Caenorhabditis elegans: one gene and its partner. The protein of the gene in region 2 interacts with the protein of the main gene of each other region in a pairwise test. Each region holds a gene or a part of one and is shown on either strand. Other genes may lie near its edges.

Region 1 (4,953 bases), on a different chromosome or scaffold from region 2:
ATCTCTTCTGCAAATCTGGAAATCTTGTGGATTTTGAGATGGACTTTGAGAATAAACTGAGATCGATTCGACGTGAAGAAATCCGAAGTTTGGAGCAATACACGAATGCGAAAAGCCCAGAAGCCAAATTTGGTGGAATAATTTGAAAATTTGTTGATTATTTCGATAACTTTTCGACTTCTTTACTTAGTCTTTTATAACGGTTGATAGCTCTTGTTTGTTAAATATGTTGATTTTGTTAAAATTATGTTATACTTTTTAAATGCCTTTTTCGTTTTCCTACTGGTGACAATTCCACTTGACTACCTTTTCGCATATTTCAATATTTCTCGAAATCTTTATCAAAATAATCTCACTATTAACAGAACATTTTCAGAACCAAAAATGAACAAGAAATCGGTCGGACAACCACCGGAAGGTCTTCATGAGACTAAATCGTTGGCATCGGCTCTTCCTGAAAAGAATGCCGAGCAAAGACCAAAATATGTACAAATTGTAGGAATTGCTGGAATCCTATTTAATAAATAATTTCTAAATTTATAGTTGAAGCAAGAAACCGCTGGCCCTGCTCAGGTGTCTCCTGCGAAATCTCCAGTTGGTCTTGGAAATTCTTCTCCTGCTGAATCGCCAGTTGTTGAGCCAAAGAAGACGAATGCTAAAGGAAAAGGATCCAAGAAAAATAATTTCGCTCAGCAAAATGGGAAACGGCCATTCAGAGTTTTTCTGAAGAAACAGGAAGTCGTAAGTAAAGTAAAGAATGAAGTTCGACAAAAATTATCTTATTTTAGGTTGCTCTTCCATCTGAAATAAAGTCCCGTGAACTTCCGATCGCCCCGGACAATGTAGTCTACTTCAATGGTCCTACTCATTATCTGTCTGCACTCTACCCGTGTACTGTTGTTGTGGATGGAAATGAGTATAACTCGGTTGAGCATTACTATCAAGCATGCAAACTCTATGTGCTCACTGGTGAACAGTCTGCTGCTCAGTTGAAAGCCTCTGAAACTCCGATCGAGGTGAAGAAAGCGACGAAGAATATTTTGAAAGAGGCGAAGATTCCAGCCAAAAAGATCTCCGCTTGGAAGGACAAGGACAGTATCGCTGTGCTCAAGCATGTTATTTATCACAAATTCAATCAAAACGATGAGCTGAAAGTCAAGCTTCTCGATACCGGAGACAAAATCCTCATTCAGACTTATATCGGGTTAGTATTATATTATTAACAACAATATTATTTACAAACCTTTTTTCAGAGACACGTACTTCGCTGCCGGCGCCAATGCCAAGTATACGAGCACTTGGGTGGATCGCCATGTCAATCAGAGCCTCAAATATCCGGAAAACGTGGTCGTCGACAACGTTCAGTATTTGCCATTGGTGGCCAACGGAAAGAATGTTCTCGGATGGATTCTTATGCAAGTTCGCGACGAGCTTCGTATGCGATCCTCCGCCTAAGCTCTCTCCAATGTTCTTTTTTGTCATTCCTCTCGTCGTACTTAAATGGGTCTCTTCTGCTGAATTTTCTATCGTTCCCTGTTATGTTTCATTTTAAATTATATGCGTCTTCTAGAACATCTCATTGTGCTCAACTTTGTCACAATGGTTCTGCTTGCTAGCTTAATTTTCTATATATGAAGAAACTGCATGATCGTATAATAAAATGTTGTTTTATATGAGTTTTTGCTACGGTATTTTATTGAAAAGGTATTTTCCTTAGCATCCTTAAGTTTGATTCGAATTTTTGAGTACTTCAAGAGTTTATTTTAGGTATAATCATCAAATAATGGTGAAACCAACCAGCTCGCTTCTTCAAAGGTTAGTCTATTCTTTAAGATTTAGTTTATTAAATATCGAATATTTCAGATACAAAAACAATGTTCGGGTGGATCCATCAACTCTAAACCACTACTTATGCTACTATTGCGGAAAAACATTGTCCGATCGGCTCGAATATCAGCAGCACATGTTAAAAGTTCATGAAGTTATGTCACAGTCCTATCAACTATGGTCTGATCACACAATGGACACATTAGGATTAATATGGAGTGAATCTAAACGGAGCTATGACCGGGATACTTCATGTTCTCGTGAGTAATGTTTTCTTTTTTGATTAGATAGTGATAAGGAACAATATTCAGAATGTGAAATTCTGAAAGTAGCCGGAGATTATAATTTCACAAAAACTTCTTTCATTCTAAAAATTGCAATATAGAATAAAACCTCTTGAGTGTCCACAACATATATATTTCTTACTGGTCATCTTTTAAACATTAATGTTAATATTCGCATTCGGAAAAAAAATTTTTCTCTGCGTCTCGATGAGAGAATGCAACTGCGCTCTACTGCACACCTATTCCTTACCACTGGCACTGGGCTTCCTCAATCTTTATTATTATTTTTTCCTTATTTTTGATAACTTAAAAATTCAAGAGATGCTTCTGTTTTGTTCCAGAGCGCGGCAGTAAAATCGAACCTAAATTTTTCCGATGAATTCGGACATTGACGTAGCACATCTTCTTGACAGAGTGGCAACACTTGAATCGATGGTGGGAGTACTGCAGGATAAAAATGACCAGAAAGATAGCGTTATTTTGAGTCTATCTAAGGCACTTGACAGCCAACTGGCTGAAATTAAAGATTTAAAAATGTGGAAAAAGACTGAACAAAATAGGCAGATGATTCAAGGAACTGCGCATAGACCAGATGAAGGTTCTGAAATTCGTAGGTTTTAGGTTTTTCCACGTAAACACTCGGATTATGTATTCAAGAAAATGCCGATTAGCTATGTTTAAATACAATTTAATGAAAAAAAATACGAGAAAACCTTATTAAATCTTTATACAGTTTCAGTTCCCGCTTCTCCTATGTCAAGAGAATCAAGAAACAGGAATTCGGACGATGATTATTACGATTATGTGTACGAAGACGAAAAGCCAAAAAGGAGAAGGATCGACGTGGAACAATCGAGACGATCGGTTGCTGCCGCAGCAGAAAAGCATCGAAAATTGCTAGAAGAGCAGAGAAGAAAAGCTGAAGCTGAATATGAACGAAAAAGGAAAGCTGATGAAAAGAAAAAAGAAAAAGCCATAAAAGACGAAGAAAAGCGTAAAGCAGAAGATTTGAGAAAATGTTTACAGTTGCAGCAACAGAAAACTGCTGCTGCTGCTCAAATAAGAGAAACTGCAGAGAAAGCAGCAGTGGCGAGAAGGATGAGTACTTTTGAGGTTGGAGAATCGTCAGAACAGCTAGCAAAGCCGGAAGGGGAAAAGAGAAAAAGAAGAAGAACTGAATCACGATGGCGAGAAATCGAATCTGATAGTGATAAGCCAGAGGTGACCGCATTGGTGAAAAAGATTTTGGAGGAAAGCAAGAAAAAGGAAGCGTCAAGCCAAGAAGTTGAAGATGCTGATCTGGTCCCTGAGCTTTGTAAGTTTCTGTGAATCTGTGTTAAATAAGAATAACGATTTCAGCCACACGAAAACCATACGATAATACGGAGCATGTTTCAAAGTTATGCAAAGTGTGCAAAAAGGGTCCTCATTATACATTTGCAAATCTGTTCGAGCATTGTGAGTTTCTTTATTTGTGACCTATTTTACAAAATGTTGAAAATTTCAGATCAAGACCTCCATAATGCAACAATCAAATCACTTCACTATTATGGATTTAACGGAAATAAGTTAATTGGAAAGAAGAATCTAATTGAACGAGATCACTGTCAGAGATGCGTTATCAAGTTCCCAAGAGCACGAGATTACTTTGCGCATATGATTAAACATCACGTTTATGAAAGTGTCAGATGCCAGCTTGAGTTAGTTTTAAACGAAATTATTCGCTGTGATTAATGTTCTAACTTTTTCAATTTCAGTTTCGAAAACGCCACCAACGCGGACGTTGAAGCTAGAATGATGTTCCGTGACAGAATCCTGACTCTTGGATACAACTTCAAATTCGAGCAAGTAGCTGATCCAAATCTCGTATCAGATGTTTTGGAACCTGGACAAGAACCATCGACAAGTGCGGAGCAGGAAGATCCGAGCTCGCTCAAAATCGTAAAACTCGAGGAACCAGAACTTGAAGAACAAAAGGCTTTGAAACCAGAATCAGAGGCGATGGAGCAGCAGGAAGACGTACACTCGCTGAATCCTGAATAATTCATTAATTTTCAATCATATTTTGTTATTTTTTTTCGGGTTCTCACAAACAATTTTACGTGAAACGTGATTCTTCATGTTTCGCGCGATTCTCAAAATCTAATCTCATTCTGTCTCCCATCTAGATATCTTATATTTCGGTGTAATATCTCTCTTCCACCACTCATAATGCAACTTTTACATTCAATAATTTTCAATTTGTTACCTGAACATTCCCGTTTTTAAATGAATTATTATTTCGACTATTTTGTTTCTTTCAGATTCAAGGAAAAGAAAAATTGGATATCCAGTTTTCACTGCTTAACACTTTAAATAAATGTATTCTATTTTGCAATGAATTTTGGTCAAAAATACGTTGCCCGGTCTCGACACGACAAATCTTTGATTGAATTCAAAATTTCAATTTGTGCGCCTTAAAGACTACTGTAATTTAAAACTTTTGTTGCTGCAAAATTTTCATCGATTTTCAATTTTGTTTTTGTCTCGTGATTTGTAAAAATTTTAGTATTAGAATGAATAAATATATTTTTTAAATAATTTCATCGAAAAACTACATTTAAAATCGATATAATTCCCATTTCAACACAGGTTTTAAATCACAGTACTTTTAAAGGCGCACATCGATTCGAATCCAGCGAAAATTTGTCGCGTCGAGACCGGGTACCGTAATTTTAGCGCAAAACTTTGCTTCTGGATAATATTGCGAATTCTCCGCTTGAAATGGACATTTTTTGATTAAAAAAAGGCGTGTTTCAAATTGTCGAAACTCATTATTTATTTAAATGATATATCAGTCACC
Region 2 (3,752 bases):
CTAGTTTTTGAGAAAACTTCTCCCATCTCCGTTTGTCATTATGAAGATGTCATGATGACCCTTGAAAGCGAAATGGAAGGGCTGGATGGTTACATCGGTGAGTTTAATTTCTTTAATATTATGTGGCACATAATGAATTATAAGATTTCAGCATCCCTGTCCCCCGAAGAACAAATTTGGGTCAAAGAAGATGCTCTTCAAAATGAGCAGCTTGTGAAGGAAGCAGTTCCGTGGATGCGCAAGGAAGAAGCTCAGGCGACCACGAGTAGGTCAAAATTGGAATTTTATAAAATTTTGATTTGTAGAAATGATTTGTAGAGTATCGCCAAATGTTGATTGCTCAGAAGAAGAAAGCGATCAATAAATTGCACGGGCATGGAGCCGTAGTTCGCTTCAACCCGGCGCGCAACGCCAAGGCTCCAGTCAACTACAATGAGGGAGATACAGAAGATGGTTTATATGAGTTTTGAGCTTCATGTTTCAATTAGTTATTATTTCAGACATCCAATTTCTGAAGGAGATCAGGAAGAAGTCGAAGAAACCAAAGAAGACTTTGCAGAAGAAGTGAAACTGTCGAATTTAAAATCTGTTTTCCCTGATTATCCTATTCAAAATTTCTTATTTTCCTATTTTCCTATTTTCCAATAAAATGACAATTTGCCAACAATTGAAATCGTAGAGAGTCACATGTTGCTGTTCGAACTCAAGGTCACCGCCTGTTGAACTCAAAATATATATGTGGGATTGTAAACATAGCATGATGGGTAGATAAGAGAATGAGAAGCTTCAGGGGTTAGGAATTTATCTGGGAAAAAGTTTTTTACGCATGAGTTTTCAGTAGCGGAACAACCATAGAGCGTCCAAAACGGCAGAGCTATGCAGAACATTTTTCGCCAAACTTAAAAACTGTTCATTTCGATACCAAAAAACAACTTTGTGAATGGGAAATTAATAGAGAAATGTAGAAAAACTGCCTGTAAATTTGAAAATTTGAATAATAAAAGTTCAAAAATGACGTCAAACGGTGATTTTCAACCACTACTTGAGGTATTTTCCGAGCTCTGCAACAAAAATTAAGTAATATTTTCAGACATAGCAAAAATGTTTCTGCATTTCTATATCAATTTTTGATTTGAAAAGTTGATAAGCAGATTTGTAGATTGCACGTATAAATTTTTATTCGTGGAACTACCAAAGAACTACCAAAATAGGAATGTATAGACAGGTGCACATTTTTGAAGCAGATAATGGAAGAATGTTCTGAAAAAATTCGAAGCTTAATGGGCTTTAAAGTATGTCTAACCGGGTGGTATACTGCCAAGGAATTGAAAAAAAAACGCAGTCCAAATTCCCAATGTACCCATCAGGGGTGTGCGGCAAATTTGCCGAATTCGCCGAATTTGCCGTTTGCCGAGCACGGCAAATTTCAAAAAACTAGATTTGCCGAATTTGCCGAGCTCGGCACATTGTGAGATGTGCCGCACACCCCTGGTACACATGTTTTTACCACCAGATGTTTCATCCTTTAATTCATTCATTTTCATAAATTCAAAATCATTTTCTTTCCTTTTAAAATATCCACATAAAAGGCGTTGACCCCTACGTGACCGCAACATTATCGATTTTCAGGAGTTCGCCGTCGAACACTTTCTCAAAACAATCTCTGCGTGTTCTTGGATAAAAGGTGAGCAAACGGGGGCTAAAAACGCGCTCTATTGCTAATTGTTTTTAACATATTACGGGACCATGAGATCATGAGAATACTTATTTACTGGCGCGAAAATATTTGCAGGCCGCGGAAGCGAGAGAGCATGTGGCGAAGAGAGACACAGGTCCCTTCGCTACGAGATATTTGCCGCCAGAAAAGTAGGCATTCTCATGATCTCATGGTTCCGTACTAACCGCTAACTTTTTTAGGGGGGGGGGGGGGGTATAAAAGGGAGAGTTTGGTGATTGGGCAGCCATTTGCCTACCTGCTGCTCTCTTCGATTCTCTTCTCCATTATTGACAGCTAAGCAGCTTTTCTTTTTGTTTCTAGGCACTCCCGACGTTGAACTTACCCTTTAAAAATAGTAAAATAAAATATACAGAAACCAGGGATGTCCTATTTGTATTATGATCTGTGTTAATGGCGTGGAAAAACTGACTTTCTATACTTGGCCGAAAGTTTGCCAAATTTTGTCGTTTGCCAAAAATTTGAAAAACCGTCTTCCGAATTCGCTTTCGGCTCAAAATTAGTTTTCAACTAGCAGACACTTTTTTTTTAATTTTTCAAATTCTCTAGTTTTCATTTTCCTTTCCTTTTTGTCCTTCAATCTCAATCCAAGTTTTTCAGGTAAATAGTTCATCAGCTCTCCCCACTATGACATCTGAAACTGCTGCCCAATTTGGTGAGTTTTATTTGGTTTTCGATCAGAAATACCTCTTTTCTCATTATTGTGTCTAAGTTTTTTTTTTGAATTTTATGTAGAAATGTAGAGAAATATTTGTACTTTATGAAGATGTATTTACTTTCAATAAAAAGTTGCAAAAAGTTTCTTAAAACATTGATATTCGAGTCAGTTTTTGAGCACCTTTTCAAAACTTTTGACTGAAAGTAAAGTTATTTTTAGAAATTACAAATACTTCTCTGTCTGTTTCCTATGTGTATTCCTATCTGTAACCTATCTGTAATTTCAGGCATTGTCCCCAACCTCGCCCATCAAAGCGCCGAGGAACGCGCTCGTGACGCACCCCGGCTCCCATTCCTCATGAAGCTCAACCTTCTCGTTGAAGCTCGAGGAATCACCTCCTTTGAGGATCTTCTGCAAGCGAAAACCGAAGTTGAGAAAGAGCTGGAGGTTGGAAAGCAAAAGGATCTCGCTGAAGACAAGGAGAACGATGTTGAAAGCGAAGAGCGACTCCCGGAGGAACCCAAGGCAAAGAAGGCGAAAAAATCTCCGAAGGTATTGATTCATTTTCAACCACATTTCTATATTCAACATCTTTTTAGATCAAGGGCTTCCCAAACCTAGTGAGAAGAAATGCCCGCCGCGGCATGGGTGTCCTTGGAGGTGAGACCTGGACCGAAGAAAGTAAGCATTTTGAGCCTGAAGCTTTTGCATAATATTTTTATTTCAGTCGTCATGGGCTAAACCGTCGGGATGGGGATATGACATATTGATTGGTTAATCTTATGTTTTTTATGTGAATATTGCAATGTGAAAATGTAGAATAAAGTTTATACAGTTGATTAGGTTTTTGGGTATTATTCAATTTGAAATTTTCAGGAGCTAAATATTTTCAGGAATAAAGTTTAGAGTCTTGCCGCGAATTCAGAAATCTTTTTTGGCCTCACAAATATAAAATTTTTGCTAATATAAGAAAATTGAAGTTTTACAATAAAAACTGCACAAAATGGTAAATTTTGAAAATTCCAGAGATCCTATTAACTGTCTGTGTTTCATCATCGTAGAAGTTCGATCCTTTTGATTCAGTTGAAATCTTTTTTTGCAGATTACTCATGTTATAACCAAATTGTTTATAATTTTATCATCCTTTCATGCCGGGTGGCCTATCGGCTTTTCTTTCACCCATTTTATGGTGTAGCTCCGACAAGATTTTGTTTACAATTTGCGAGCTCTGTATTTTTTGAGCAAGTAGCCTTTTGGCCTAATTTCCGCGTATTCACCAAGAATAATCTACAAACATTTGTTAATCTTGCAAGGCTTTGGGCCATTTCGGGCCTAAAAAAAGTCTCAGATTTCGGTACT

What was found.
Region 1: the proteins of F13A2.4 (region 2) and F44E2.7 interact in a two-hybrid assay, tested with the Caenorhabditis elegans proteins (one large-scale study listed by BioGRID).

Annotation. Positions count from the first base shown.
Region 1 is NC_003281.10:8,845,301-8,850,253, reverse strand, and holds F44E2.7 (Putative zinc finger protein F44E2.7), read left to right. Parts: upstream 1-1,781; 5' UTR 1,782-1,783; coding exon 1,784-1,815; intron 1,816-1,863; coding exon 1,864-2,087; intron 2,088-2,641; exon of another isoform or gene 2,642-2,645; coding exon of another isoform or gene 2,646-2,721; intron 2,722-2,844; coding exon 2,845-3,426; intron 3,427-3,470; coding exon 3,471-3,569; intron 3,570-3,618; coding exon 3,619-3,811; intron 3,812-3,868; coding exon 3,869-4,154; 3' UTR 4,155-4,399; downstream 4,400-4,953. Other genes in the region: F44E2.9 (uncharacterized protein), read left to right, coding at 1-146; F44E2.8 (NADAR family protein), read left to right, coding at 385-495, 544-741, 789-1,204, 1,254-1,455.
Region 2 is NC_003283.11:4,398,114-4,401,865, reverse strand, and holds F13A2.4 (Gag-pol polyprotein), read left to right. Parts: upstream 1-1,647; 5' UTR 1,648-1,684; intron 1,685-2,335; 5' UTR 2,336-2,362; coding exon 2,363-2,390; intron 2,391-2,679; coding exon 2,680-2,945; intron 2,946-2,992; coding exon 2,993-3,074; intron 3,075-3,120; coding exon 3,121-3,134; 3' UTR 3,135-3,231; downstream 3,232-3,752. Other genes in the region: F13A2.5 (M-phase phosphoprotein 6), read left to right, coding at 1-97, 152-265, 319-453, 501-568.